4 linked regions of the Nothobranchius furzeri genome follow. The protein of the gene in region 1 purifies or fractionates together with the protein of each later gene. This does not show direct contact. Links are inferred from orthologs where the notes say so. Each region holds a gene or a part of one and is shown on either strand. Other genes may lie near its edges.

Evidence for each region.
Region 2: the proteins of mycbp (region 1) and otud4 purify together in Homo sapiens (co-immunoprecipitation; 3 studies listed by BioGRID and IntAct, with this or other methods). This does not show direct contact. The link is inferred for Nothobranchius furzeri from reciprocal best matches to the Homo sapiens genes MYCBP and OTUD4.
Region 3: the proteins of mycbp (region 1) and arfgef1 purify together in Homo sapiens (co-immunoprecipitation; 4 studies listed by BioGRID and IntAct, with this or other methods). This does not show direct contact. The link is inferred for Nothobranchius furzeri from reciprocal best matches to the Homo sapiens genes MYCBP and ARFGEF1.
Region 4: the proteins of mycbp (region 1) and arfgef2 purify together in Homo sapiens (co-immunoprecipitation; 4 studies listed by BioGRID and IntAct, with this or other methods). This does not show direct contact. The link is inferred for Nothobranchius furzeri from reciprocal best matches to the Homo sapiens genes MYCBP and ARFGEF2.

The regions. Positions count from the first base shown.
Region 1 is NC_091759.1:25,186,656-25,194,070, reverse strand, and holds mycbp (C-Myc-binding protein), read right to left. Parts: upstream 4,357-7,415; 5' UTR 4,221-4,356; coding exon 4,206-4,220; intron 3,983-4,205; coding exon 3,910-3,982; intron 3,814-3,909; coding exon 3,765-3,813; intron 3,391-3,764; coding exon 3,261-3,390; intron 3,189-3,260; coding exon 3,144-3,188; 3' UTR 3,088-3,143; downstream 1-3,087. Other genes in the region: gap junction alpha-9 protein, read left to right, coding at 889-2,397. UniProt on the Homo sapiens protein: May control the transcriptional activity of MYC. Stimulates the activation of E box-dependent transcription by MYC.
Region 2 is NC_091742.1:88,799,242-88,807,052, forward strand, and holds part of otud4 (OTU domain-containing protein 4), read left to right. Parts: intron 1-3,085; coding exon 3,086-3,177; intron 3,178-3,469; coding exon 3,470-3,632; intron 3,633-3,785; coding exon 3,786-3,918; intron 3,919-4,053; coding exon 4,054-4,128; intron 4,129-4,462; coding exon 4,463-5,012; intron 5,013-5,094; coding exon 5,095-5,589; intron 5,590-7,811.
Region 3 is NC_091747.1:51,774,393-51,782,203, reverse strand, and holds part of arfgef1 (brefeldin A-inhibited guanine nucleotide-exchange protein 1), read left to right. Parts: coding exon 1-16; intron 17-303; coding exon 304-357; intron 358-4,893; coding exon 4,894-5,236; intron 5,237-5,518; coding exon 5,519-5,653; intron 5,654-6,255; coding exon 6,256-6,488; intron 6,489-6,930; coding exon 6,931-7,064; intron 7,065-7,811. UniProt on the Homo sapiens protein: Promotes guanine-nucleotide exchange on ARF1 and ARF3. Promotes the activation of ARF1/ARF3 through replacement of GDP with GTP. Involved in vesicular trafficking.
Region 4 is NC_091755.1:48,056,337-48,064,147, reverse strand, and holds the end of arfgef2 (brefeldin A-inhibited guanine nucleotide-exchange protein 2), read left to right. Parts: intron 1-678; coding exon 679-817; intron 818-969; coding exon 970-1,027; intron 1,028-1,189; coding exon 1,190-1,298; intron 1,299-1,371; coding exon 1,372-1,511; intron 1,512-5,733; coding exon 5,734-5,911; intron 5,912-6,040; coding exon 6,041-6,179; intron 6,180-6,684; coding exon 6,685-6,802; intron 6,803-7,165; coding exon 7,166-7,330; 3' UTR 7,331-7,538; downstream 7,539-7,811. UniProt on the Homo sapiens protein: Promotes guanine-nucleotide exchange on ARF1 and ARF3 and to a lower extent on ARF5 and ARF6. Promotes the activation of ARF1/ARF5/ARF6 through replacement of GDP with GTP. Involved in the regulation of Golgi vesicular transport.

The sequences.
Region 1 (7,415 bases):
AGTTTGATCTTGTTCAGAGGATTTTAGCGGCTTCTTCATCTTTAATTCTGCTCTGATTTTATATGAAATAAAATCGACACAAACTGTATTGAGTTTGTGCTCCATGTTGTATTATCGAACCAGCGTCTGAACAAACGGGCCTAAAAGTCCCGCTGACTCGCATCAGCATTTGAACAGCAAGGTACATCTAAGGGGCGGGACTTAAAGGTGTGGTTGACTGAAAAAACATTTTCTAATTATGAATGTAGTTGGTCACTGTGAGGTTTTCATGCAGGCTGAACATGACAACAGTCATGCCGTTTCCTACGTTAGATTATGATAGAAAAAAGATAGTGGAATGCTAGGATTTGAAAATAGTCACACTGTGATGTCACACTGATGAATTAGCATTCATAGCCTCGCCCATCTTGGCTCATGCCTGCCCACAGGAAGGCTTTTCTAATTGTTTTTGCAGCGAGGAGAGAGAGCGGAGAATTTCTTGGTGGTAGCGACTTTGCAACATGGCTGAATGCGTTCTGTTAGCCAATCAGAAGTGTGGTGTGTGCATATCATTAATAGTAATGAGCAATCCTGCTGTTTTCAGCCCACCTCTACACCAGCAAACTTCTGCATCTCCAAACAGGAGCATCGTGGCCTTTTTTTATGACTCCCACGGCATTGATTTACAGTAGAATGAGTAAACCACACCTTTAAATATCATGGAGCCGCCGTTAGGAGGACAGTAGAAGGCCCATGGCCTCTCTGACCTCGCACATATCTGTTTTCAGGAGCAGACGGTGATTTGAACTGAACCACATGACTCACCAACAGTAACTGTGCTGATTTATTGGTGTTAACTTTGGGACTTTGTTTCTGATTCTTCGGACTTCAGCACCTTCACAGTGAAAAATGGGAGACTGGAATTTCCTCGGAGGGATCTTGGAGGAGGTGCACATCCACTCCACCATGGTCGGCAAGATCTGGCTGACCATACTGTTCATATTCCGGATGTTGGTGCTGGGCGTCGCTGCGGAGGACGTCTGGAACGATGAGCAGTCCGACTTTGTCTGCAACACCGAGCAACCTGGCTGCCGCAATGTTTGCTACGACCAGGCCTTCCCCATCTCCCTGATCCGCTACTGGGTGCTTCAGGTGATTTTTGTGTCCTCGCCCTCCTTAGTGTACATGGGTCATGCCATCTACCAGCTGCGTGCTTTGGAGAAGGAGCGCCACTGCAAGAAGGTGGCTCTCCGACGGGAGCTGGAGGCAGTGGATGCAGAGATGGTGGAGGTGAAGAGAAGGATCGAGAAGGAGATGAGGCAGCTGGAGCAGGGGAAGCTCAACAAAGCACCGCTTAGGGGCTCGCTGCTGTGCACCTACATGGCTCACATCGTCACTCGCTCCGTGGTGGAGGTTAGCTTCATGATGGGTCAGTACATCCTCTACGGACACCGTCTAAACACTCTGTACAAGTGCGAACGGGAGCCGTGTCCCAATATGGTGGACTGCTTTGTCTCCAGGCCAACAGAGAAAACTGTCTTCATGATGTTCATGCAAGTCATCGCCTGCATCTCCCTGTTCCTCAGCCTGCTGGAGATCATGCACCTGGGCTTCAAGAAGATAAAGAGGGCCATACTGAACTTCTACCCCCACCTCAAGGACGACCTTGATGATTATTACGTCAACAAGTCTAAAAAGAACTCGGTTGTCCATCAGGTGTGTGTGGGGACGTCAGTGGGACGTAAGACCACCATTCCCACAGCTCCCAGTGGATACACACTGCTGCTGGAGAAGCAGGGCAACGGACCAAACTACCCCCTCCTCAGTGCCTCCTCCGCCTTTGTCCCAATACAGGGAGACCCCGGGGCCGTCCCAGACAGCCGCAAAGACGTCAAAGAGGGGGTTCCGAGCCCGACGGAGCAGAACAGCAACTCCAACAACACCAGCAGTGAGACACGTTCACCTCCTGTGGACAAGCAGGACGAGCCTGAGGAGCACTCTTCCTCCCACCACGAAGATCTGGAGTGTGGGAGCTCGGAGTACCCCACCCTCTCTGTGGCAGACACCTCCACCTGCACCACGCTGTCAGCCGTCGCCAGGAAGTCCCGGAAGCCCAGCCCGTCGTGGAACTGCTCCACGGTGATGGAGGGGAACTGCTCAGACAGCGGAGACTCCTACCACGGAAACAGCAGCATGAAGCTCCGCAGCGGCTGCGCCGGGCCAAGAGCCAGGGTGCTCTCCAAGTCGGACTCAAAGAGGCCGAGTGGATCCCAGAGCCCGGACTCCGTGGGGGAGCTGAGCTCCATGTCTCGACACAGCCGGGAGAGCAACAGCCCCACCACCTCCTCCCCAAACCGAAGAGCGTCGGCGGCGAGCAGCGGCAGCAGCAGACGAGCCCCGACGGACTTACAGATCTGAACCCGTTAAGTCCTGATCCGGTTCTGGTGTCGTGTTTCCAAACGCAGCCAGACTTGGATCAGTGGCTCTCCAGACTTCCTGAGGAGTCTCTCTTTGAACTCTGGCTGATTTTTCTCTTAGTGTCAGTTTTTATCGGAGAATCTTTTTAACCTCTGATGAAAAGTGTTCCTGATGAGGTCTGGATCAAGACTTTTGCACAGCTCTGTACATGTAAACACAAAAACCACAGGCTGCAGTAGAAAAGATGCTTTATGTAGTTTTCTGTCATGTTTCAAAAGCTTTGAGAGAAACTGGTCTCTGCGTTTCCAGGTCAGCCTCAGACATCCAGATCGACATTTAACGATTCAGCAGGATGGAGACGCGGAGGGATGGAAAAGCGAATCATCGATCGCTCGTGTTCCAGTCAGCTGTTGTTATGTAAACACTTTTAGTTCAGCAGTGAGTTAATCCACCTAAACAGTTTTAGAGGCTGATGGCCTTTTGTGTTTTGGTGTTTTTATATGGAAACTATTTTTCTACTTGATGCAGAAGATTTCAGTTTGAAAGACTGAAAAATTTAAATGGAATTTTTAAAAAAAGTGAAAAAATATGAATTTCTGATCAAATGTTTTGTTATTTAAAAAACGAACAGTGATTTTGTCTTCGTTGATTATGTGATGATAAAACATTTACATTCTGCACAAAACAAAAGCCAGTGATGAATGATTTTATTTCCCGGGACCCCCAAAAGCAGCACCGCAGCCGTCCTACACTCCAGCTCTCTCCTCAGGCGACGTCTCGTACTGCATCAGCTGTGAGACAAACAAACCGTCAGACGTTCCCGACGGAGAATCCGGGGTGAACTCTGACCTGTGGATGCTTACTCTGTTCTTCAGCTCCTTGTTCTCCTCCATGAGCAGGCTGCACTTCTGCTGCAGATCAGCCAGCTCCATTCGAAGCGCCTCTGAGTCTCTGGGTTCTGGACCCGATGTCCCGAGGTGGAGTTTTATAAAGCTGAGTCTCTGGTTAAGGTCCAGATCCTCGTCAGTCAGAGCTATAAGATGCAGTTTAGTCAGTCTGCTGCTCCGGAGCATACAGGTGTGTGTAAGGAGAAAGAGGAAAACCCTCAGCAGCAACTTTAGAGAAGCAACTGTTGCTGCCAATCAATCTGGGAAGGGTCAAATGTCATTTTAGCTATTTAGAGACAAAAATGGAGAACATACAAGATTTTGTTTAAAATAATTATTTTAGGACAACAACTGAATCAGTTTCAGCTGAAAATGATAACTGGCAATAGCGAGTTAACATGATTAATCTGGAATGTTCAAATCTTCTGAAGTCTGGAATAAAAAGTGCTTCAGATCTTCTATAATTAGAACGAAGGATACTCGAGGGCGTTGTTGGGTTTATCTGGTTCTTCATAAAGAGCCACCAAGACTACAAAACAGAAACACACATGAATCCCCGCCACCTGAACAAATGAGCGCGTGTGTGTGACGGTAACAGGAAGAAGGGGGCGTTAGGATGTCCCACCGCTCGTTAAAGTGTCCAGAACTCCAGATCGTTCGAGGTATCTCCTGAACTGTTCTCGCTTTGACTCGGACGCCTGTAACCCAACAAATAGTCACATTAACAATTTTTAACTAAAATATGAACGTTTATTGTTTGAAAAATCACCATTAAACAGAACACGAGAAGCATCTGAGCCTATGGTGCGTTCACTGTCCGGATGCTAACTAGTTAGCACACGCTACGTGAGTTTAACCTCAAATACGAACAAAATGTAAAACATTTCTGATAAACACGATATTTATCTCTTTATTACTCACTCTATAGTTGGCCATGGAGACGGTTAAAACCTATAATTTGGTGATAGATGAATAGATAGGTTCCAGACCCAAACACACAGCAGCTTGTTTTGTACGCACTTCCGTCCACAAACAGGTGGTCTGTTGCCATGACAGCACGTAAAGCGGAAATGATGCCGCTGGTAGTTCTCTAAACAAATGTTTCTAACTCTTTAAAAAAATAAATGTTTCCTGGTTACGTCATGTGACACAAGGGGAAAAAACAGATTGGCCGAATTTTTATTTCTACATCCAGGTAACAAAAAACTGATATATCGGTAACATTTAAAATAAATTGTTTAAATGGAAGAAATCCAAAAGCGCGATAGTTTGCTAGCGTAGTCCGGACGTGTTTTTTTTTACTTTACAGTAGATTTATCGTACATTTGATTAACGTACAGCCATGAATAACGCGAATTGCACTAAATTAAAAAAATGTTCCTTCAGTCTTCGTGGGTTCAGAGTTCAGGAATGTCCGGCGCTTTAACCCATAGATATCATATATATTAGCTAGATCCCTCACCCGCGCTGTTCGTCAATGGACCCTGACGTCCGTTCGCGGCGGCCATCTTACTTCGGACAGCGGCCCTCCTCTAACAGTGGTGTTTAGTGGTGCGTGCACTATTTAAACAACTCTTAACTTTCTCAGTTTTCAACCGATTTTCATACGGTTTGATTTTTTAGAAACATTAGAGACGTGGCTATGAAATATGTCAGTATTGGCAGGAAACTCCCCTTATTTCACTCCACTTTCCAGCCGTTTTCCCCTATCCTGTAAATTTCCCATACTTACCATTTTATTGTCAACAAGATCTGCTTCTGATGAACTAGCTGTAGTTTGTAAACTCTGCCTGCCACCACTCACATTAAAGGTCACACCCTGGATTTAATCTGCTGCTCCGGCCTGACCCCCTCCAACTGTACAGCTGACCCGCTCCCTTTCACGGACCACTTCCTCATCTCCTTTTCTGTTCCCCTCCGTCTCTCCGTCATCAAGTCACCCCGTATCATTTCATTTCGTAATATTAAGGACATTGATCTAGCCTCCCATTCCTCCAGCTTTGCCACCCTGACCCCAGATTTATCCTCTACTCCCGATGATCTTGTCATTCAGTACAATAACGGTCTGGTTTCAACCCTTAATCCATTTGCTATCATCAAATCCCGCTCTGTATATTTCACTCGGTCTGCTCCATGGTTCACCCCTGCCCCACGCTCATTGAAAGCCAACCGGAGGCTTGAAAGACTCTACAGGAAAACCGGTCTCACCATCCATAAAGACTTATATTCTGCTCAGATTTCTCTCTACAAGGACTCCATCTCCTACGCCAAATCACAGTATTACTCCGGTCTCATCTCGTCCAACTCCAGCAACACTAAGACATTATTTTCCATCATGAACAGCATTTTTCAGCCTCCCGACTCCTTACCCATCCATCTTTACTCTTCAGAAACCTGTAACTCTCTCCTTCAGTTTTTAATGAGAAGGTCAATAGAATCCATCTCTCTTTACCTCATTCCTCCCCTCCCTCTCCTGATTTATTTGAACCCTCCATTCAGTTCTCCTCCTTTGAACTTCCCCATCCCTCAGAACTATTAGATTACACCACCAAGTCCAAACCTTCCACCCGTCAGCTAGACCCTATTCCAACAGAGTTAAATCCTGCCTTTCCTCCCTGCTCCCCTTTATAACAGCTGTTATTCATTCCTCACTATCCTCTGGTATGGTCCCCTCCCTATTCAAATCCGCTTCAGTCAGCCCTATTCTAAAAAAACCTGGTTCAGATCCCAATGATTTCAATAATCTCCGTCCCATTTCCCACCTTCCCTTCATTTCCAAAGTTCTAGAGAAAACCGTTGCATCTCAGTATTTTTCTTTGAGCCGTGCACTCAGCCTCAGCTAGAGAACTGTACGAAGTAAGATGGCCGCCGTGTAAGGACGCTGTCGACTCCCGGTTAGGGGATCTAGTTAGTATGATATCTATGCTTTAGCTCAGCGCCGTCCAGGAGTAGAGGAGGAAGAACCAATCACGTGCCTCGACGTCACAATGTGACCACTGACTTATAAACCATATGCGCTGCATTAACTGGTAGGCGAAGACAGTGGAGTCTTTAGTAGATCTGTTCTTTAGTACTTGCCGCTGCTCATGTGACTTTTCTTTCTCTTGAATTTCGGATCAACAGCAGCAGCCTCGGTGTTCCACCGGTTTCAGGTTCACGTATCCACACAACCGGAGGACGGTTTCAGGTACTTTAATCGTTAAACAGGTGGGTTTTGTTAAACCGGGAAGTGACATGTTGCCTACAATGCAGCTTTTAGGGGTGACAGACTCATTTCTGCCTCAAAAGCGAACATTTTGTTGTTTTTGTCACATGGCAGCCATGCTTTGTGATTTAAGTTTCAATAATCAAAATAATGATTATTTTTCAAATTAAACAAGCTGATAGTTAATTATTTAACGCATAAGCTTGATTACCAAGAAGCTACAGACATCATCATTATTATTATTACGTAATGATATGACAGTGTATTAAATCTGTTTTCTGTCACTAACAAAGAAACGTTGCGTTCTTAATAACTGTATTAACATCTGGCTGTAGGGAGCACTGACAGGACCCTGTTGGACCTTTAAACACTAATCACGTGATCATATTCAGTTCCTCTTACTAAATGTCATTGCAGAAAAAATATTCTTTTATAATCAGCATGTTGAAGACATGGGAACGTTCTTCCTCTTTGTAAGTTTTGTGTTCTCAGGAACAGAAACAAGCAGTTCGATGATCAGTGATTGTCTTCAGATGGTTTCTGGAAATCTCATGAGGCATCGCTCTCATGCTCGCAGAGTGTTGCTTGTGTCACGTGGAGAAGATACGTTAAATATGGTCAACCTTCTCAGATGTACTGTGTGATGTTTATGATGATTTTGGCTGAAATCAGAAGCATCCAGAAGCTCGCGAGGAGTTCAAACATCTGTTTTCTCCTAAATCAGAAAAGCAGCTGTTTGTCAGACAGAAGCCGAGTGACAGGAAGAGTGTGACTGACATGGAAAACCTCATGATCAGGAATCGGAACACGGGCTTTCCCACTGAACCGGTTTAACTCCCTCTAACTGAACACAGGTTTTACTTCTCATCAGTCTGAAAGCTGATGAAGTGGGAATATAAACCTTCACGCTGGTTTGTTTCTGCCTC
Region 2 (7,811 bases), on another chromosome or scaffold:
GCCTCCCATTAGTGTAAGTTTTAGGTAGTGTACAACCTCTTTTCTTCATGTCTAGCTACACTTGCCAGTACTGTTTACAACAATTTATTGGTATGCCGTTTAACATATAATGACTAATGTGTTTTTTTATTTATTCATTTGTTCATTTAGCCAGTGTGAGTCCATCTGTGAGCAGAGTTTCAACTAAAATGCTGTTTAGGAACGACCAAATTCAAAGAACTGGTAGAGACATAAATATTTTGCTGAAAATGAACGTTACAATTAAATATGAACAAATTAAATGTTTCAGCTGGCTAAATAGATTGTTGCCGACCCCACCGAGAATCGAACCAGCATCAGCTGAGGGGAAAGCAAAACTCAACTCAGACGATCTTGCCACTGGACTAACAGAACACACATGGGAATGGTACATGCTGTTGTACAGGACTTTTGTTAGAGCGGCTGTGGGCAGATATTCGCTAAGAAAAACCTTTTTATTTCGGGATATATTCAGACTTTGTCATGTAGCAAGTTATATTTATCTTGTTTAATTGGAGCATAGAACATAGCATTAACGACTGTAAACTAGTAACAGCCGTAATTCATGTGGGTCAGGTCAGTTTGCGATAAAGTTGAAAACAAAAACGGAAGTCAGTGGGCTAGGCTGAGTTTGCGTGAATGGGCGGGGCTGACTCTGGTGCAGCTCCACCTTATGGTGCAGCTCCGCCTTTGTAGTTCTGCAGCGAGCACCCTCTCGAAAAATGGGCACCACCAGTGTCGTTGACGACTAAAAGATCTTATAACCAAAATAACTTGTAACCAAGTATTCTCTGCATCTAAATGATACTGACAAACACGCCCTGACAGTCTCCACATAAAACCAGAAAAACATTACAAATCAAATGTGAAAATATAAATGTCAGGAAAAGTAGAAACCATAAACAACATAACTATTGATAACAACAATAAACAACTCCTCTGTGCTGTTAAATAGCAAAAAGAAAGGAAACAGAACATATAAATGAGGAAAAAATAAATGAAGACTACTTCCTTCTAGCGCTGGGCACAGCCATCTTTAAATTTGGGATCTTGGGGTCCACTGAAGCATAAAAGGTCGCAGCTCAGAATTCTAAGATCATGGCGTAATTTCCGGCTAACTTATCTTGGAAAAACGAGTTCCAAGAACACTGTTGTCCTGCTGCTAGTACTGCTAATGCTGCTAGTACTGCTGCTAATGCTGCTAGTACTGCTAATGCTGCTAGTACTGCTGCTAATGCTGCTAGTACTGCTGCTAATGCTGCTAGTACTGCTAATGCTGCTAGTACTGCTGCTAATGCTGCTAGTACTGCTAGTGCTGCTAGTACTGCTGCTAATGCTGCTAGTACTGCTGCTAATGCTGCTAGTACTGCTGCTAATGCTGCTAGTACTGCTGCTAATGCTGCTAGTACTGCTAATGCTGCTAGTACTGCTAGTACTGCTGCTAATGCTGCTAGTACTGCTAATGCTGCTAGTACTGCTGCTAATGCTGCTAGTACTGCTAATGTTGCTAGTACTGCTAATGCTGCTAGTACTGCTAATGCTACTAGTACTGCTAATGCTGCTAGTACTGCTAATGCTGCTAGTACTGCTGCTAATGCTGCTAGTACTGCTAATGCTGCTAGTACTGCTAATGCTGCTAGTACTGCTAATGCTACTAGTACTGCTGCTAGTACTGCTAATGCTGCTAGTACTGCTGCTAGTACTGCTAGTGCTGCTAGTACTGCTGCTAATGCTGCTAGTACTGCTGCTAATGCTGCTAGTACTGCTAATGCTGCTAGTACTGCTAATGCTGCTGGTGCTGTTAATGCTGCTAGTACTGCTAATGCTGCTAGCACTGTTAATGCTGCTAGTACTGCTGCTAGTACTGCTAATGCTGCTAGTACTGCTAATGCTGCTAGTACTGCTGCTAATGCTGCTAGTACTGCTAATGCTGCTAGTACTGCTAGTGCTGCTAGTACTGCTGCTAATGCTGCTAGTACTGCTAATGCTGCTAGTACTGCTAATGCTGCTAGTACTGCTGCTAATGCTGCGAGTACTGCTAGTGCTGCTAGTACTGCTAATGCTGCTAGTACTGCTGCTAATGCTGCTAGTACTGCTGCTAATGCTGCTAGTACTGCTAATGCTGCTAGTACTGCTGCTAATACTGCTAATGCTGCTAGTACTGCTGCTAATGCTGCTAGTACTGCTAATGCTGCTAGTACTGCTAATGCTGCTAGTACCGCTAATGCTGCTAGTACTGCTAATGCTGCTAGTACTGCTAATGCTGCTAGTACTGCTAATGCTACTAGTACTGCTGCTAATGCTGCTAGTACTGCTAATGCTGCTAGTACTGCTAGTGCTGCTAGTACTGCTGCTAATGCTGCTAGTACTGCTGCTAATGCTGCTAGTACTGCTAATGCTGCTAGTACTGCTAATGCTGCTGGTGCTGTTAATGCTGCTAGTACTGCTAATGCTGCTAGTACTGTTAGTGCTGCTAGTACTGCTGCTAGTACTGCTAATGCTGCTAATGCTGCTAGTACTGCTGCTAATGCTGCTAGTACTGCTAATGCTGCTAGTGCTGCTAGTACTGCTGCTAGTACTGCTAATGCTGCTAGTACTGCTGCTAATGCTGCTAGTACTGCTAATGCTGCTAGTACTCCTGCTAATGCTGGTAGTACTGCTGCTAATGCTGGTAGTACTGCTAGTGCTGCTAGTACTGCTAATGCTGCTAGTACTGCTGCTAGTACTGCTGCTAATGCTGCTAGTACTGCTAATGCTGCTAGTACTGCTGCTAATACTGCTAATGCTGCTAGTACTGCTGCTAATGCTGCTAGTACTGCTAATGCTGCTAGTACTGCTAATGCTGCTAGTACCGCTAATGCTGCTAGTACCACTAATGCTGCTAGTACTGCTGCTAACGCTGCTGTTAAATGATAAATAACCCACACTTATAAAGTGCTTTTCAGAGTCAGAGGACTCTAAAGCGCTTTACGCTAGTGTATGATTCATCCATTCACACACACACAGTGATACACTGATGGCGCTGTTTGTGCTAACTCAGCTGGTTGACAGGTGGTCTTGTCTGCAGGCAGGTGCCTCTGTGGAACATCCGACCTTACAGCGCGGAAAACACTTGGAGCACCGTTGTCCGAGAGAAGAAGCTGAGCAACGGACACGGAGGTGACACAAGTTCATGTCCTGCCAACGCTTTACTAGCAGGATGGTTAAAAAGTTTTTTTCATGGAAGGGGTTTTTATTATTTTCATTCTATTTATTTTTATGTGTATGTTGAGCTGTAGCTTTACTTCCTGTCTCACTGAATGAGTCTGTCTTAAGCTCCTGCTGAGGTCACTGAGCCATAGACACGTTTATATGAAGTAAAAAGAGGGTCGATGAGCTAACGGCTAGGTTACACACAAGCAAAGCATCTTGATGTTTTAAGGATTATAATGATGTTCTGTTGCTGTCTCAGACTGGGAGGACAGGGGTCGAGGACGAGGACGAGGGAAGCCCACTCCAGCATCCTACTCTGCCGTGTCCCAGACAGCGACCACAGGCTCCAGTGGGCGTGTGCAGAAGCAGAACTCGTGGCCCCCACAGGCCACCACAGAGGAGCAGGGAGGGCCCAAAAGCAGGTCAGGACTTGAGTGTTTAATTTAAACTCGTTTATAGCAGCCACCTCTGCCTGGACCCATGTTTGGGTTTAACTCATGGCCACCGCTTTGCAAACCCAGATGACCTCACTGGGGCCAGCACAAGGCTGATGATGTAACCGTTGGTTTCTGCAGGACATCAGTGAGCTCCTTGGAGGCAGCATTTGGTGTGACGGCGAAGGAGCGACAGGCCAAAGTAGAAGAGGAGATGAACATGGCTCTGATGGAGATCCAACTCCGAGACGAACACAGCTTCCCCGCCCTCAAGGTGAGTCCAGTAGCTCTGTCCTCAGCAACTGCTAATTTTGAAGGTTTAGTTTATTTTAGGAACTCAGAATCCTAGAATGAGAGAATAATAATCTGTTCAGCCCAGATTAAGATCCACCTACTTACTTCCTCTCAGACTCACACTGTGGTTCAGGCTGAAAGAGGGAGGAAGAAGGGAGGAGAGAAGAGACAGTCTCAAAGACACAAGACGGTGAGGAAGCCCCACCCCCTTTGGAGCTAGAAACAGCTGATGGTGTTCTTGTGTCCTGAGCACATCCACCGCCCAGCTCCCATGACCTTTGTGTGGTAACCATGGCGACCCAAATGAGCCACTGGCAGCAGCATTAACATGACTCGTTTCTCAGACTTGATGTTTCCAGGGTTGATGGCGGTTTGATCTAGTATTTAGTCCGAAACAGTTCTCCAGGCAGCTGTTGCCATGGTTACCACCACAATGTTGTCTTCTATTTTTAGACTCGGTTTAGTTGAATCTGCTCACTGTGTTCTTCTTCTCTGGTGTTTTTAACATGTTTGTGTTTTTCTAGAAGAGTCCAGTTGAAGAGGTCAGTGACTTGGCGCCCTCTTCTGGAGACAGACCCAAGTCCTCCACTCCTCCTCCTCCTATAGCTCCTAACCCCACTTTACCGACCACTGACCCCACCCTCCCACCTGCCTCTGCTGCCCGAGAAGCTAAATCAAACACACCTTCCTACACTTCAGCTGCTGATCTGAGCTCTCCCCCAGCCAACATCAAACCCTCCGTCCCGTCTCTCTTCACCCTCATCACGCCTGTCCTCCCTGCTGCTTCATCACCTCCTGCTCCCTCCATGTCCTCCTCCCCTCCCAGGTCTGATACTCCCCCATCCTCTTCATCAGTGTCTGAGCCCATCTTCATTGCGCCCATCGCTCCCAGTCCCACAGCTGCTCACTGCTTCCTACGCTCCTTCTCCCCCCCTCCTCCCCCGTCTTCCCCATTACCTCCTCCTCAAATAAAAGAATCTCTGCCTCATCAAGAAAAAGAACCTCCTCCCCTTTCTCAAATAAAAGAAGCTCCTCCCATTGATGAAAAACAAGTCCCTCCCACTCCAACTGCAGGTGAGAAATCAGCCGATGTCAGATTAAAATAATTTAGTCTCACTTCTCGTCATCGTGTCTCACACTGTCTTGTCTTCTGTAGATGTCTTGCTCCAGACTGAAGGAACTCTGCAGACTTCTCAGATGGAGAAACCTGTGTCTCAGGCCCCTGTGACTCCCCACCTGGACCCAGTTTCTGTGTCTGAGGAGGAGAAACGAGCTCCGCCCTGTTTACCTGAGACCCAGAGTCCCACAGAGGTCCAGTCCTCAGCTCCTCAGCCCCAACTAGAAACCCACACTCAGTCCTCTCACCCGCCTCCAGGACCCTCCCAGGTCCCATCGTCTCCCAGTGTTCAGAGTCAAGCTGAAGCCCCGCCCCCTCCTGAGAAACCCCAGTCTCCTCCCCCCCAGCAGTCCCAGCCTCCTTACCCCTCTAGTCCTCCTCATTCTCATCACCCCCTTGGAGCTATCCCCCTCCAGCAGCTGTCTCAGATTTACCAAGACCCCCTGTTCCCCGGGTTCCCCCAGGGGGACAAAGGCGAGATGGCCCCGATTCCTCCCATGTCTACCAACAAGACGGGAGACGACCTGCCGAAAGGTGAGACACTGGGACCGGGGCACAAGCTGGTGATGATGTCATTTTTGTCTTTTATTGTTTTTTTCTGTTTGGTTAAAAAAATCATGCTTTGATTGACGTGTTTTACAGTTTTTAAACATATGATTAAAATTACTCGGGTTTAACTTTTCCCTGGGCTGCCACCTTACCGTGGTGGAGGGTTTGAGTTTCCCAGTGGTCCTAGGAGCTATGTTGTCTGAGGCTTTATGCCTCTGTTAGGGTCACCCATGGCAAACAGGTTCTAGGTGAGGGACCAGACAAAGGGAAACGCAAAGACCCTTCATGATAAAAAATATATATCAAAACAGTGTTCCCTCGCCTGGACGTGGGTCACAGGGGCCCCCCTCTGGAGCCAGGCCTGGAGGTGGAGCGCCTTGGCGAGCGCCTGCAGTGTTTCCCCTAGGCATTTTTCCAGCTGTGAGGGGGGGTTAAATTATGACACGTCTCACCTTTGTGTTAATATTGTTTTATTTGATGCACTCCACTTTGAACTGCACCAATCCAGCAACTGCTGCATTTTAATAACTAGTATTAAAGGTGAATATGCCAACATTTGCACAAGAATAATTTTTGTTTTAAACTCTCAGTGACACACTTTGCAGGGGGGATTTGGCATTTAATTTTTCTTGGCGTCTAGAAAAACATCTCCTTTTGCCCCCCTTTATTTTGGTCCATGGAGCCCAGCCGGCCACAGCCCGAAGAGGAAACGTGGGTCACCCTTCCCATGGGCTCACCACTCATGAGCGGGACCTCAGGGGTCAGATGCAGTGTGTAACAGGTGGTAGCTGAGGGTTGGGACCTTAGCGGTCTGATCCTCGACTACAGAAGCTGGCTCTTGATGTGTTGAATGTCACCTTTCTCGTGGGGAAGGAGCCTGAGTTGGTGTGTGAGGTTGAGAGGTTCCAACTAGAAATAGTCGGACTCACCTCAACGCATGGCTCTGGCTCCGGAACCAGTTTCCTCGAGAGGGGCTGGACACTCTCTGGAGTTGCTCCCACTGAGAGGCGCCGAGCAGAGGTGGGCATACTAGTTGCCCCACATCTTGGTGCCTGTACATTGGTGAACGAGAGGGTAGCCTCCCTCCGTCTACATGTGGGGGGACGGGTCCTAACTGTTGTCTGTGCGTATGCACCAAACTACAGTTCAGACTACCCACCCTTTTTGAAGAAGTAAAGCTCTTTTCTATAGCGCGCCTCAAGAGAAAAATCACGAGGCGCTTCACAAAAACAAAAAATGTAAAATATAAAAAAGAATACACTTGGAGACGTGTGGTTGGGAGGAACGGCCCCCTGATCTGAATTCAAGTGGTGTTTTGTTATTGGACTTCTGTGCCAGTCATGGATTGTCCATAATGAACACCATGTTCAGACATAAAGGTGTCCATGTGTGCTCTTGGCGCCTGGATACCTTAGGCCGCAGCTCAATGATCGACTTTGTTGTTGTTTCATCTGACCTGTGACCGCATGTCTTGGACACTCGGGTGAAGAGCGGGGCGGAGCTGTTAACTGACCACTACCTGGTGGTGAATTGACTCAGATGGTGGGGGAGGATGCCGGTCAGACCAGGCAGGCCCAAACGTATCGCGAGGGTCTGCTGGGAACGTCTGGCAGAGTCTCCTGTCAGAAGGAGCTTCAATTCCCACCTCCGACAGAATTTCCAAAATGTTCCGGGGGAGGCGGGGGACATTGAGTCTGAATGGACCCTGTTCCGTGCCTCCATTGTTGAGGCGGCCGACCAGAGCTGCGGTCGCAGGATCGTCTGTGCCTGACTGGCAACCCCCAAACCCGCTGGTAGACTGGTGGACACCGGCGGTTAGGGATGCTGTAAAGCTGAAGAAAGAGTCCCATCAGGTCTTTTTGGCCTGTTGCATGGGAGGAGTTCGGTGAGACCATGGAGCAAGACTTCTCTACGGCCTCTAGGAGATTCTGGTCCACCATCCGGCGCCTCAGGGGGGGGGGGTAAAGCAGGGCACTACCAACACTATCTATAGTGGGGATGGCGTGCTGCTAACCTCTACTCAGGATGTTGTGGATCGGTGGGTAGAATACTTCGAAGACCTCCTCAATCCCACCAACACGTCTTCCAGTGGGGAAGCAGAGTCTGGGGACTTTGAGTTGGGCTCTCAAATCTCTGGTGCTGAGGTCACTGAGGTGGTTAAAAAGCTCCTCTGTGGCAAGGCTCCGGGGGTGGATGAGATCTGCCCG
Region 3 (7,811 bases), on another chromosome or scaffold:
CATGGAGAATCAAGCAGTACGTCTGTCCTTCTCAAAACAATTCAGCGAAGAGACAGAAAAGACGGCTTCTCTTTGGAGGCTGCTTTTCTAGAAGCTACTTTTAGCTACTTTGCTTTAATTGTTTTCTGAACTTTATTCTCATTTAACCAAAAGCCTTCTTTGTGTTCAGAGGGACATTTAAGGTGTTGCCTTCAAAGAAAGCTTGCTCTAATGTCATCTTTTTCTTTTTGAATGGCACTTTCCTCCCCCTCCTCACCTGCCTCCCCTCCCCCTTCCTCCCCCCCTCCCTTTTTGGACACATAGCTTACAAATCACAAGCTATCTTGGTCTCTGGCCTCCAGAAAGCGTGACCGCCAGGTAAAGCATGCAGGACTTGCAGTGACATTGCCTGATCGGAACTTTTCAGCTCCTATCCTGTGTGTGTTTGTGTCTGAGCTTTTCCCCTCATCCATCCATCCATCCATCCATCCATGCACTCATCTGTTCTCCTCATTTTGCTCCCACGCTGCACTCAGATTCAGTCTTCCACAGTATGCCTTGGCTTCCCCTCTCATCTCGCTTTTCCACAACATCTTAGTTTTATAAGTGCACCTAGTTGTGCTAAATCTTTGGTATTGATGAGTGATGAAACGCTGAAACAAAGAGACGTGGTAGCCTTTGAGTCCTATTATTGTGCTGCATTGCTGCACAGAGATATCCACTTTCTTACTTTGTGTGTGTGTCCCATTGGCTGCAGCTCAGCATGATCTGATCACACCTACACACACAAACACACACACCCATCACTGTCCAACTGAGGTGGCATTTAAATAATGAGCTTAGTTTGTTTGTGCTGGCTCGACTTTCCCCTCCGGAACATTTGTCTGGTCCTGCCGTTGCACGTTATTAGTCGTTTATGTCAAAGTTTTGCTTCACTGAATTTATTTGGCTCTATTTACTTGTGACAAAGGCAGCAAGCTCGTTTAATTTAAATCAAACGGCTTCATTAGAAACTTAGTTTTCGAAGAATAACGAGTCCGATTAAACCAAAATGCAGTAAACGCCATAAAACTGATAAATTTGTGTCGCATTTAGAGCAGGAAATGCTTCAATAAAAATTCATATAAGGCTATTTTGGTGTGCAATATTAGTATTGTAGAGAATTTTATTAAACCAGACTTAAAATATACTCAAAATATTTGAATTCCACAAGCAAATGGACCCAGATTTCCCTAAATATCAACAGCAACTACACGGCGAGTGCCAGGAATATTGGATTACTGAGGCAGATGAATAAAATTGTGATTGCCTGTTTTCCTAATATCATGCAGCTCAACATAATTGCTGTGCTTTGTGACTAAGTTTCAACATGAACATTTGCACGCCAAACAATTTGTGTGCATTTGCATTCCATACAGCTTGGGACCTGGCCATGTGGAAAAGATCTTGTAAAGGTGTCACATGTAAAGGATTTCTACTGCAAAGTACCATTTAGTTTTTTTCATTCATTTTTTGTGTTTTGAACTGGTTACCAACAGTGAGGGACTGACTGTAGGACATGCACACACGTAGCTGGGGTTTTTGGAAAACCTAATATCAAATCTTACCGATCTAGGAGAAAAGCTTGTTTTCAGCAAAAATCCAGTGTTGTGATGCACATTCAAACGTATAGGTGGCAGTAGTTCCCCAAGTTATTGGTGTCTCATGCTAAGAAACATTCACTGGTGATGTCAGAGCATTTTTATTGCAGGCAGTGGTGTTGCAAAACCTAAAACCCCGGCTATTTACGTCCACAAGCAAATGCCGACAACGGAGAATTCGTAAATCTCCACTTTGGTCGTCCATCCATCCATCCATCCATCCATTTTCATCCGGTTATCCGAATTCGGGTCACGGGGGCAGTAGCCTAAGGCGAGACGCCTAGACTTCCCTCTCCCCAGCCACTTGGGCCAGCTCCTCCAGGGGAATCCCAAGGCGTTCCCTGGCCAGGTGAGAGACATAGTCCCTCCACCGTGTCCTGGGTCTACCTTTAGGCCTCCTCCCGGTTGGACGTGCCCGGAAAACCTCACCAGGGAGGCGTCCAGGAGGCATCCTGACGAGATGCCCGAGCCACCTCAACTGGCTCCTCTTGATGTGGAGGAGCAGCAGGTCTACTCCGAGCCCCTCCCGAATGACTGAGTTTCTCACCCTATCTCTACGGGAGAGCCCAGCCACTCTTCGGAGAAAACTCATTTTGGCCGCTTGTATCCGCGACCTCGTTCTTTCGGTCACTACCCAAAGCTCATGACCATAGGTGAGGGTAGGAACGTAGATCGACCGGTAAATCGAGAGCTTTGCCTTCTGACTCAGCTCTCTTCACCTGGACTTCACTGCAGATGCAGCACCAATCCGCCTATCGATCTCACGCTCCAGTTTTCCCTCACTCGTGAACAAGTCCCCGAGATACTTAAACTCCTCCACTTGGGGCAGGACCTCATCCCTGACCCGGAGAAGGCATTCTACCCTTTTCCGAATCAAGACCATGGTCTGAGATTTTGAGGAGCTGATTCTCATCCCAGCTGCTTCACACTTGGCTGCGAACCACTCCAGCAAAAGCTGAAGATCACGTTCTGATGAAGCCAACAGGACCACGTCATCTGCAAAAAGAAGAGACCTGATCCTCAGGCCACCAAAACGGATGCCCTCCACACCTTGGCTGTGCCTAGAAATCCTGTCCATAAAGTTTATTAACAGAATCGGTGACAAAGGGCAGCCTTGGCGGAGTCCAACTCTCACTGGGAACGAGCCCGACTTACTGCCGGCAATGCGGACCAAGCTCTGACACCGGTCATACAGGGACCTAACAGCCTGGGCCCTGTGGGCCCCCCGAGGAACGCGGTCAAACGCCTTCTCCAAATCCATGAAACACATGTAGACTGGTTGGGCAAATTCCCACGCACCCTCCAGGATCCCCCTAAGGGTATAGAGCTGGTCCAGTGTTCCACGGCCAGGACAAAAACCCCATTGCTCCTCCTGAATCCGAGGTTCATCAATCCAATGGACCCTCCTCTCCAGAACCCCTGAATAGACCTTACCAGAAAGGCTCAGGAGTGTGATCCCCCTGTAGTTGGAACACACCCTGCGGTCCCCCTTTTTAAATACGGGGACCACCACCCCGGTCTGCCAGTCCAGTGGGACTGCCCCCGATGTCCACGCAATATTGCAGAGCCACGTCAGCCAACACAGCTCCACAACATCCAGAGCCTTAAGGAACTCCGGGCGGATCTCATCCATCCCCAGAGCCTTGCCACAGAGGAGCTGGTGGACGGTGGACCAGAATCTCCTCGAATCCGTACGGAAGTCTTGCTCCGTGGTCTCACCGAACTCCTCCCATGCCCGGGTTTTTGCCCTGGCGACCACCTGAGCCGCGTTCCGCTTGGACTGCCGGTACCCGTCAGCTGCCTCTGGAGTCCCACAGGCCAAAAATACCTTATAGGACTCTTTCTTCAGCTTGACAGCATCCCTAACCGCCGGTGTCCACCAGCGGGTTCGGGGGTTGCCACCACAACAGGCACTGACGATCCTGCGTCCACAGCTCCGGTCAGCCGCCTCAACAATGGAGGAATGGAACTGGGTCCATTTAGATTCAATACCCCCCACCCCCACCCCACCCCCGGAACATTTTGGAAGTTCTGTCGGATGTGGGAATTGAAGCTCCTTCTGACAGGAGACTGCCAGACGTTCCCGGCAGACTCTCGCGATACATTTGGGCCTGTCTGGTCTGACCGGCTTTGGTTGTAGTTTTTAAAAAATTGTTCCTGACACCGGGTATCTTTTTTTATTCAGATCACAGGCTAAACTGTAGAAAATGATCTTTGTTTTGTGAGACACCTGGTGGCTACGTGTGGACCTGGCCTTAGTTGTGAAAGAGATTTGGGTATTCTGAGTGTTGGAATCGGTTAGCCTGATCTGTGATTGCTAATCTAAAACTGAAAGCAGTTTGGTCCCTGAATGCATCGTCTTTGTGATGGCAGTACAAGCTCTTCCCTGCAACGATTTTACTACATGAATCATAATTTCACTCTTGATCGGTTTTTCTATGCAAGTCGGAGCTGTTGAAGTGTGAGAAATTGGCATCGGCTCTCAAAATCAGAATCGGTACATTTATTAACTGAATTGCAAATAAAATGAGGTTAAATTACAAACAAAATCAGGACTTGTTGTGACTAAATGACACCAAAACTGTAAAAATGCGTGAAAGTTTTAATATTTTCGTCCGTACCTCTCGTCATCTGTCTGCTTTCTTTTTAATCTGTTATTTTCTACAAATGCTCCAAAGCTGCTGTTGTGGGCTGGCTGAGAAAACTTGCACTGCTTGTATTTTTTTTCTAGCTCGTGTTTCTGTGACGGTTCAGATAATTGATCATCTCTGCTCTTAAAATTCAAATCAGAACCTAAATGTAAGCGTGCTCGGTGTGCAGCTTGAGAGGTGAAATCTCACAAAATTCAGCCGCATTTAATGCACGCTCTTGCAATGTCTTGTGACCCACTTTCAGCTCGAGAGCCAGCGAGCTGAAGCACGGCCACTCTTTGTCGCTCCCTCTATCAGAACTGCCATGACACATCAGTCAGGACGCGTCCGTAGGAACCATTGTCCACCATGGCGCCAGCATGAACTTGATCTCGCTGTGTTTCATTGCTCATTGAGTGGATTAACGTGTTGATCTGATGCATATTCACCCACCATACTGCAGAAACTTCACAGGTGTATTTTATGGTATCTTTATAAAATGTTTTTGCTGTGATCTTGATTTGGGCGCCGTTTGCTCACAGGAGAATTGAGTTGATCATACTGACAAATTAATGCTTTTCCATTTTGTCTGCTTCCTGTTTTTGTTATTTTGCTTCTTCCCCCCCCCCCCCCCCCCCCCCCAGCTGCAGGAAGCCAAACAGATGGAGAGAGATCGGCACCGGCAGCACTCCCCAGTCACCCAGCCCGCTGAGCCAGAATCCCCCCAGCTCCAGACCCACGTCCACTCATCTGCAAAGGCTCCCACGCAGGAGGCCAACGGGCCCGTCAGCCCTCCCACCCCCGGCACCACCTGCCCGTCCACCCCATCCACCCCGTCGACGCCCGCCCCTGAGTCCAACAGCAGGTCTGTGTCCGGGGAGCAGGAGGGGCTCGTCTACGAGAACCCGGACCCTGAAAATGGGTCGGAGTTCTGCGTGGCTGAAAATGAGCAAACGGAGGCGGACCAAGCCACCGCAGCAGCACAGAGTGAGACTTTTTACTTTCCTTCACCACAAGTTTGGGCGCAATAAAAATGTTGATAAAAACACTTGAAGTTGCAGGTTTAGAATCAAATGTTTGTGTTTTTAGTTTAAATTATGAGTCGGCGACCCTCCTCAGAGCTGAAGTTTTATTTGGATTTGGCTCATTTCTTATCGGATTTTCATTTAATAGGTGGATTTTTTTTTCTGTTCAGACTTTGAAGATTAAAGCTTCCAGCAAGCAGAACCGACCACGTTTCGGTCACAGCTGAATGTGTTGTTGTTCTAGATGCTGCATCCAAACAGCACGAAGGAGCGCGTAAAGAGGAAGAGGAGGAGGAGGAGGAAAGCCCAAACTACGAGGAGAAAGCCCAGGAAATAGTCCAGAGTATCCTGCAGGAGGTGGTCAACACTGTTGCAGGAGGTAAAGCTTCTTCTGTGGGCTTTAGCGGCATGTTTTTAAAAAAGGGAAGCGGCTAACCAGGCTGAGAGAGAGAACACCGCCGCGGTAGGCTGCGCTTCAGTTTGCTCACATCTCTGCAGAGAAGCAGCTTCAATTCCCGCATTCTCATTAAATCTTATTTCTGAGTAAAAAAAAAAACCTAACACATGCATCTCCTCTCATTAACATAAGTGTTGACGTTCATACTTCTGATCACCATTCTGTAAATCAAGGTGTGATTTTTAGGTTTAATGTCCTTTCATTTCCCTCAGATGCTGACATAAATAAGGGGAATCACCTTTTTTTTGCTGAAGTTTCTAAAAGCCATTATTTCTTTGCTCTGGCAGCAAAAAAATGGATAAATGTGCTTGTCCACATGAAAGACACGCTGCTTTCCCTTCTTTTAATCCTGCACAGGTTTTCAGGATTTGGAGGAAAACTGAGCAGAAATCTACTCCAGTGTGTTTTTTAGGGATTCTTTAGATTTGCTGCAAACATCTTTCGTCTTTTTTCTTAGTTAGAAAGCCGAATTAGCTCCAGTTGGTCATTAGAAATCACATGATTTATGTATGTTGTCCTCACAGGCCACTGTCTGGATCCTGCAAACCTCTGCTCCGACACCCAGGAGTCCGCCGCGGATTCGCAGCCCGCCATGGCGGGGACCGAGGGAACCCAAAGCTCGCTGGAGGACGAGGGCACCGTGGGGAGTGACAGCGAGCACGTCCATGCCAATGGCATTCCTGGAACTCCGATTTCTGCCAGCTTCACGCCCTCGTTACCCGATGACAGACTCTCCGTCTCCTCCACAGACACTCAGGTCCGAGGAAGCGGGACCATTTCAGAACACCTAATCTCTTGTTATAAATTATGATTTTTGTTTTCATTTACTGCAAATATATGAAATAATGAATTCATATTATATCATATTAGTCATAAAAGATTAATGAGCCTTTAATGTCACATATAAAAAGTCTAAAAAAGACTAACTGAAAACATTTAAGGATTATTTCAAGCTTTATTCATTTATTTTGGAGCTCATTCGTGATGCTATGACTACATGCATCTTAATAACTGAAGAGGTTTCTTTGAAATTAAGGTTATTTTTGTCATTTTAGATGCAAATGTCCTTTTCATCCAAGTCAAACTGATTTCTGCAGGGAGTCATGATTGCAAATATTTCCGGATCACCTGGATTTCCACATTGTAGTGCAGCAGAGGAAAGTGAGTTTAGATGTCTGTTTGTTATTGGCTCCCCTCAGGAATCGGGGGCGACACCAGGACAGCTACCGGGCGCCAAGTTCTCCCACATCCTGCAGAAAGACGCTTTCCTCGTCTTTCGCTCGCTCTGCAAGCTGTCCATGAAGCCGCTTTCAGAAGGACCGCCTGATCCCAAGTAAGACTTTAAAAGATTTATGTCTAAAAGGGACAAATGGCCATCATATAAATGTTGAAAGGAGTCATCATTTAAATGAATCTGCGCATGAATACATTGGGAGTTGTTATTTGTGGAAGATGAGCTCTGGCGCTCCTGTTTCAGGAAGTAGAAGTTAGTCCAAAAAAGGCAGTGTTGGAAAATGGCAGGACTTGGATTTTTACTCATTAACATTAATGATATGCGAGCACATTGCCTCTGATTGGCTAATGGCAACCAGACTCTTCCGCTGCCTCCATTCACTCTTCTTTTTGGGGTAAAATATGCAACGTTGATGTTTGATCTCCACATGTGACACAAGCCTGGAGTAGGTCTGCAGTGTTGTGGAGTTGCTAATGCTAACAGTTAGCTTTTTCTAACCGAAACACACTTTGATCTCACCTGGACGCTAAATGAACGCAGCCTTTCCCCGTCATAGACCAAGATGGGTGAGTCCGTGAACCAGAGCGTTTGTCCCGTCTGTTTTCTATCTGCGTCGAATTCAGGAAACGAGTTAGACTATTAGTCTGCTTGTGAAACTCCGAGTGATCAGTCATATTTCAAAACTAACAAGTACTCCACGGTTCACAGTAACCCTCACCTTTAACTTGTTCAGTTTAGGCAGACAAAATGGTGGATGTGAGTGCGTTAGAGCAGGACGAATTATCTAACGGTACGATCGAAAAATAACTTCAGCTCCTTTCACATACGGACCTGCTCTACTGAGCC
Region 4 (7,811 bases), on another chromosome or scaffold:
TGGTACTTTTTTTTAAGCCTTTATTAACAGCTTTCAAACAAACAATTATTTGAGAAAAACTTATATTCACTGCTGCTTTGTCTAAAAGTTTCAGAGCATCAGCTGATCGTCCTAAAATGAACGACTTCCATTAGAAAATGCATATTTTCAGAAGAGGCGCTTGAGCCTTCTAGGGTTGGGCATCGTTTGATTTTGAACGATTCCGATTCCAATTCCTCGTTTCGATTCTGGTTCCGATCAATTCCCGATACTGATTCTTTCAAGACGTAACATGTTTTACATGAGCCAGCTAACCACAGGTCCTACTTGATGAAATAATCTGAACGTCAACATGAATTTTATTCTGTGTACAACAGCTGGTGTGTTCAGCTCTGAAAAGCATCGATCACAATTTGCAGATCACGTTTAGCTTTCACGGAGATCGGCTGCGGATTGCTCTTCCGTCGGCATTCGAGGAATCGAAGTAAAAAAACTTTGAACGATTCTGGGAAAAATGAACAGTTGGAACCGGTTCCAATCGATGCTCGATGCCCAACCCTACGAGTCCTCACCCAAGTACGCATCAAGGGTGCAAAAGGGCCGTGGTCAACGTCTGCACTCGAGAGTCAGGACACCCGGATGAGCACACGTCGGGATCTCTCGTAGAGAACTCAGAAGTCTCTCGTCTCCCGACTGCAGATAACGAGCAGCTGGCCCGGTCGGGAACTAACTGTCTGGAGAACCTGGTGATCCTGAACGGGGAGAAGTTCAGCCCAGAAGTCTGGAACGTCACCTGCTCGTGCATGCTGGAGATTTTCCAAAACACCAGCCCTCACGTGTGAGTGTCGGTTCCCTCCTCATCGGGTTTTAGAGACGGTCGGGTGCATGGAGGCTTTACCAGCATTGCTGTTGAACGTTGGCGCCTCTCAGAGCTGTGACGGATGCATCGCCTGATTCTCAACCTGCCGCCATGTTTGTTTTCCACGTCAGGTTGTTGACTTGGCGACCGGCCGGACAAGACGAGGAAGCTGCAGACGGGAAGCACTTTGTAAGCAAACCATCTCGTACATCGCTAGAGTAACTGCTTTAATCCAGTTAAAAATGTTGGGATCCATCCATCCATGCGTTCTCTTCCACTTATCCGGAGTCGGGTCGCGGGGGCAACAGCTGCAGTCGGGGTTGTGATCATGTTTTTACTTTTCGTCTCCAGGATGCAGATTTCGACAGCCAGTCTCAGAGCAGCTACGACAGAGCTCTGTCCGAGAGAGGACACAGCCAGATGTCCAGCGACGACACCTGGAAGGGCAGATCCAACGCCAGTGAGTTTAATAAAGCCGCACACGCCTCCGATCGTTCCGATGGTGAGTCATTTAAACCTTAATCCCTCCCCAGGAGTCTCAGACCAGAGGCTGTTTGCAGGGCTGCTGATTAAATGTGTCGTGCAGCTCGAGCTCATCCAGACTGTAGACAACATCGTCTTCTTCCCAGCAACCAGCAAGAAGGAGGATGCTGAAAACATGGCTGCAGCGCAGGTAGTCACGCAGAAGACCCTCACCTTCGAGGGTGTGTCATGGTGTCAAAGTTCAGCCTACGTGCTAACCTGCAGAAACAGCAGAAGAAAACCTGCTGGGGACTCATTTAACCTGGAAGAGCTTTCTCCTGCTCGCTGACTAACGGGCTCGACACACGGGAGGCGACGTCGCCTCTCCATTCATGTTCAATGAGACATGCGATAATCGCGGGTCTCCCACCTACTACGCGAAACGCGCGCGTGAAATTTTGCGCTCGTGCACGTGGCGTGCACAGGCGACCCAGAAAGTTGAAATATTTTCAACTTTTCATCGCCGTCGCTCGGACGAGGACCGACCAACGGAGGTTTCATTCACTGACCAATGAGCGGAGAGGATGCTCTCCGAGTGTACACGTAATAAGAAAATACACCCACCTAAAGGTGGAACACCAGACTAATACTGAACAGGCGTTCCTAATAGTCCTTTAGGTGAGTGTATATGAAAATATAATTATTGTTTATCATTAACTTACCTTAGACGGATAGCAAGTCGTTCTTCTGGGCTTTGTAGGAGCCAAGAGCTGCGTTTGTGTACGAGATGTTTAACATCCTGTCTTCAGTCCAGTTTGCATAATTTCCAGTGAGACTAACATTTATCTGAATGTTTATCGGGAAGTCAAGAGCAGCGGATGGTTCCTGTCTCGTTGCACGGGTTGCTGGGAAAGACTCCCCAAACAGTTTCCAATTCATGTGTATGTGAGACCCATTTCCTAAGCCATGCAGAAGTGACGTCAGTAAAAAGTATAACTGGGGTCGCATCTTCGGTGTAAGCGGGCTTTTTCTGAGATCCAGCCGGCGGCCCGTTGCGTTCTGGCTGAACGCTGTCCCGAGTTACTGGTGGTGTGTTGCTGAACTGTACAAATAAACCGCCCCACGCTGTAAGGACACAGTTGTCTCATTCTCTTGTGTTTTGATGAGGAAAAGAACCGCAGCTTATAGACCCTTTTACTGTGTGTAAACAATATGACGTCATGTTTCAGGCTTTATCAAGCTACGCTGCGGGGTTATCACCGGCAAATCTTGAATGTTATATTATTAACCTCACTTTAACGAATGGCAACAGACTCCCGGATCCCTGTGGCATTACGGAATGGGTGGAAGATGTAGGTGCGTGGCCCGATATACAGGTGCTGGCCAGTAAATTAGAATATCATCAAAAGGTTGAAAATATTTCAGTAATTCCATTCAAAACGTGAAACTTGTACATTATATTCATGCAATGCACACAGACCAATGTATTTCCAATGTTCATTACATTTAAATTTGATATTCATAAGTGACAACTAATGAAAACTCCAAATTTGGTATCTCAAAAAATTAGAATATTCTGAAAAGGCTGAATATAGAAGACACCTGCTGCCACTCTAATCAGCTGATTTACTCAAAACACCTGCAAAGGCCTTTAAAAGGTCCCTCAGTCTTGTTTTGAAGGCATCACAATCATGGGGAAGACTTCTGACTTAACAGCTGTCCAAAAGACAATCATTGACACCTTGCACAAGGAGGGCAAGACACAAAAGGTGATTGCTAAAGAAGCTGGCTGTTCGCAGAGCTCTGTGTCCAAGCACATTAACAGACAGGCGAAGGGACGGAAAAAATGTGGTAGAAAAAAGTGTACAAGCTCTAGGGATAACCGCACCCTGCAGAGAATTGTGACGACAAACCCATTCAAAAATGTGGGGGAGATCCACAAAGAGTGGACTGCAGCTGGAGTCAGCGCTTCAAGAACCACCACGAGGAGACTCATGAAAGACATGGGATTCAGGTGTCGCATTCCGTGTGTCAAGCCACTCTTGAACAAGAAACAGCGCAAGAAGCGTCTCGCCTGGGCCAAGGACAAAAAGGACTGGACTGATGCTGAGTGGTCCAAAGTTATGTTTTCTGATGAAAGCAAGTTCTGCATTTCCTTTGGAAATCAAGGACCCAGAGTCTGGAGGAAGAGCGGAGAAGCACAGAATCCACGTTGCATGAGGTCCAGTGTAAAGTTTCCACCGTCAGTGATGGTGTGGGGTGCCATGTCATCTGCCGGTGTTGGCCCACTCTGTTTCCTGAGGTCCAGGGTCAATGCAGCCGTCTACCAGGAAGTTTTAGAGCACTTCATGCTTCCTGCTGCTGACCAACTTTATGGGGATGCAGACTTCACCTTTCAACTGGACTTGGCACCTGCACACAGTGCCAAAACCACCAGCACCTGGTTCAAGGACCATGGTATCCCTGTCCTTGATTGGCCAGCAAACTCGCCTGACCTTAACCCCATAGAAAATCTATGGGGTATTGTGAAGCGGAGGATGCAATACGCTAGACCCAACAATGCAGAGGAGCTGAAGACGACTATCAGAGCAACCTGGGCTCTCATAACACCTGAGCAGTGCCACAGACTGATCGAGTCCATGCCACGCCGCATTACTGCAGTTATTGAGGCAAAAGGAGCCCCGACTAAGTATTGAGTGCTATACATGCACATTCTTTTCATGTTCATTCTTTTCAGTTGGCCAACATTAGAGAAACAAACATTTTTTCATTGGCCTTTAGAATATTCTAATTTTCTGAGATACCAGATTTGATGTTTTCATTGGTTGTCACCTATAAATATCAAAATTAAACGTAATAAACATCGGAAATACATTGGTCTGTGTGCATTGCATGAATATAATGTACAAGTTTCACGTTTTGAATGGAATTACTGAAATATTTTCAACCTTTTGATGATATTCTAATTTACTGGCCAGCACCTGTATATACGTTTTAGTGGAGAGGCCCAGTAAGTACACACGTGAGAAGCTACGGGCATACAAATCGTTAGATGCATACAACTATGTTGTCTGTGGCCACGTACAGAAAGTAAAATATCACGACATAGACTCTGAGTTTTGAATCTTGAAGGCAGAAGTCCTTCCTAGCCAAAGACAAGGACACAAGACTGCTACGTACGAGGCTTGGGTCATAGTAAACAAACCAGAGAACTATGTCTTCACAGCCAACTGTACCTGCATGGCAGGGTGAGTATAGCATAGGTTTCTTTTTTTAGCGTGCTCAGAGTACAATCGTGTTAATTTTAGAGAAATACAGTTTATACTAATATGCAGTGGGAAAATACAGATGAATTAGAATGAAATGTTAATTTGGAGCATGAAATAAAGCGTATAAATTTGTTTAATTCTGTCATTTTGATGTTCCAGACTTGGGTCATGCTGCCGCCACGCAGCAGCAATTTTATTCAAAGTTGAGCTTTGTGTTAGGATGGGAAAAACAGAAAAGGCAGCAGTTACATCTCAGTAGAACACACGTTAACCAGCTTTCTGGTGTAATCTTAGTACATAATTACCTTACCTGATATAAAATGGGCGCTACAAACTCGAGCATTTCGGATCGTGTTTTCAGTCCAGTTTTCATCAACCCTTTTGATGGCCTGCAGCCACAGACGCCTCCGGTTTTGTTGAAATGGATGTGCTCCCTTCGGAATTCTGTAAAGTTTCAGTCCACTGCTTGAAGAGAAGCGATTCTGGCATCCATACACGCAACAACCCGACATTTTTATGTGCTCAGAAATTCAAAACAAAGGGTTTAAAACGCTGTTTTAGTATCGAGTGTGAATGAGGAAGCCTTCACTCTCGTTGCCAGGCTGCGCGCGCAACTTTTGATGACGTAGGTCGTAAAAGGGTTCTCTCATGTTTGTGTGAATCTTCTCTATCGTTGGGGTTACCAGGGTGAGAAGATGGACAAGTAGCTCTGGACTGAGGCGACGGTAGGTCCGGAGTTGATCAGGACTATCCTTGAGGTCCCTCATAAATGATGGTTTTCTCCGTTTCTTTCTCTGGTTTGTAACACGGGACGAACCCATTCTTGTTTGTTTTTTTTATAGTAAAATCAGAAGTAAGATTTCACATAACTCTAGCAGCACCTTGTGACGCATCACATGTACCGCGTTTTTAACTCTGAACCGCTTAAATAACCTTAACTCCCTCCAACCTGACACAGCCAATCAAAACAACGGAAGGTTCGATTTCGCCATGGAACAGAACGCGTTGGCGGCTTTGCCGCTGCCGCGGGTCGCCTCCCGCGTGTCGAGCCCATGACTCGGTTCAAACCCTAACTCTGTTACGGTTAGAGGTCACTAACCCTAACTACGTTCTCCAGTCGGGGATGGACGCCTTCTTGCACTTAGCAGTTCAAATGTCTTCCAGAGAGATGCTCTGGAGGAGTCGGAGGCTGACTGGGAGGATTCCAGACCGGATCAGGGCATGTACCGACACATGACCTCAGCTCACCTCTTCAAGCTGCTGGACTGTCTGCTGGAGTCGCACAACTTTGCCAAGGACTTCAACTCCAACAACGAGCAGAGGACGGCTCTCTGGAGGGCGGGTAAGCCGCTGCAGGCCTCGCTGTTCCTCTGGTTCATGAGATCGGTGTTGGATCGTGGAAAAAGGAGAAGTTCAGGCGTAGAGACTCCCGTGCATTCACTTTAATGGCAGGTGTCCTCTCTGCTCGCAGGCTTTAAGGGGAAATCGAAGCCCAACTTGTTGAAGCAGGAAACCAGCAGCCTCGCCTGCAGCCTCAGGATCTTGTTTAAGATGTACTCCGACCTGAAGCTGCAGGACTCGTGGCCCGACATCCAAACACGCCTGCTGCTGTGAGTACTGACCTGCAGCGTGTCGTCAAAGCATGAGGCTGAAGTCCGGCGGGGGGGGGGGCTGTTTTAGCCTGGATGATTTGCTGAAGCTGTGACTGAGTTCTGCTGTCAGCAGTACCGGGTCTGCAGATAAAAACTGGGTTTGTGGAGACACAGGAAGATGTCAGCAGGAGCAGCTTCGTGCCTTAAAGATGTCGTTTTAACAGATGTGAGGAAAAAAGCTGAATTATGTCGTCCTTGATTGATTTATTGTTGCCAGCTCTCTGGTGGATGAGCAGGACTCCAACATCTGGCTAGTTCATGACCGCGTGGGTTTAAGTGACCCGCCTCGCTGGTCACGGGTCTGCTGCGAGTCACGACCGCGATCGTGCTGAAGTCTGGTTTATTAGCCGCCGCGTTAAGCTAGTTTGATTTGCTAACTGCAAACTCATTAGAGTAATGTTTGTTTCATGTGTGTGCGTGCGTGCGTGTGTGTGCGCGTGCGTGTGTGTTTTTCCTGGTTCAGAGTGTGTACCGAAGCTCTGAGCTACTTCATCAGTCTGACCTCAGAGAGCCACCGAGAGGCGTGGAACAGCCTGCTGATGCTGCTGCTCACCAGAACACTACGGCTGCCCGACGGCAAGGCACGAACACACACACACACACACACACACACACACACACACACACACGTGTTCCATAGAGGAGAGCTGGATTATGATACATCCATCCATTAACGTGTTTTTGTGGTACTAAACCTCATCACTGACGACTCTTGGCCCTCCCCACGACTCGGTTCTTCCAGAGCACCTCAGGCCAAAGCGATTACAGATTATAGATCACATATTAAAGATATGATTGAAGAAGCAACTTGTGATGGTTCGACATGCATGACCACCCGGTGTTGTTGGGATTTAGCTGGTTCTGGACGGAGACCTGCTCCGAAAGCAGCTGAAACACTTTATTCTGGGACTTTGTTGTTTAACGCTCATCTCTGTCCTCCGTAGTTTAAGCCCCATGCTTCCTGTTACTACCCCCACCTGTGTGAAATGATGCAGTTCGACCTGATCCCGGAGCTGCGGGCCGTCCTCCGGCGCTTCTTCCTGCGCATCGGCTCCGTCTTCCAGATCGCCGCTCCTGAGGGGGCGCCCACCCGGACTCCCTCCTCCTAGGCAGAATCCAGGTGATGCTGTGGATCCGTAGAGAGGAAACCTGAAGGTGGACCTGATACTTGAGAATCTTTCCTCCCTTCTGCTGGTCCGGATCCGAGACGGAGACAAAGTCCGGAGGAGGTTGTGGGTCTTGGTTCAGGACTTGGCATCTTCTCTCGGGGATGAGCAGCTCTGTGACCGGCGCTTCCTGCTGACTGTCGTCTTTCATCCTACAGCGACCAGAACAAGAAGGAAAAACGACTCTAATATAATTTATTGTTGCAGATCCTGTTGCCCCACTTTTCTTTTCCGCTCTAAAAACAAATGAAGCCTTCGGTCCGATTGGCTTTTTGCCAACTGTGCCTGTTAGCAACGGATGATTCTCCACGTGACCGTCGCATCTGTATGAGCCTGACTGAAGCTGCAGGCGACGCGTCAACGATCACCCCGGCTCATCCTGTCCTCTCTCACACGCCCCAGTGAATTTTTACTTATTCGTTGT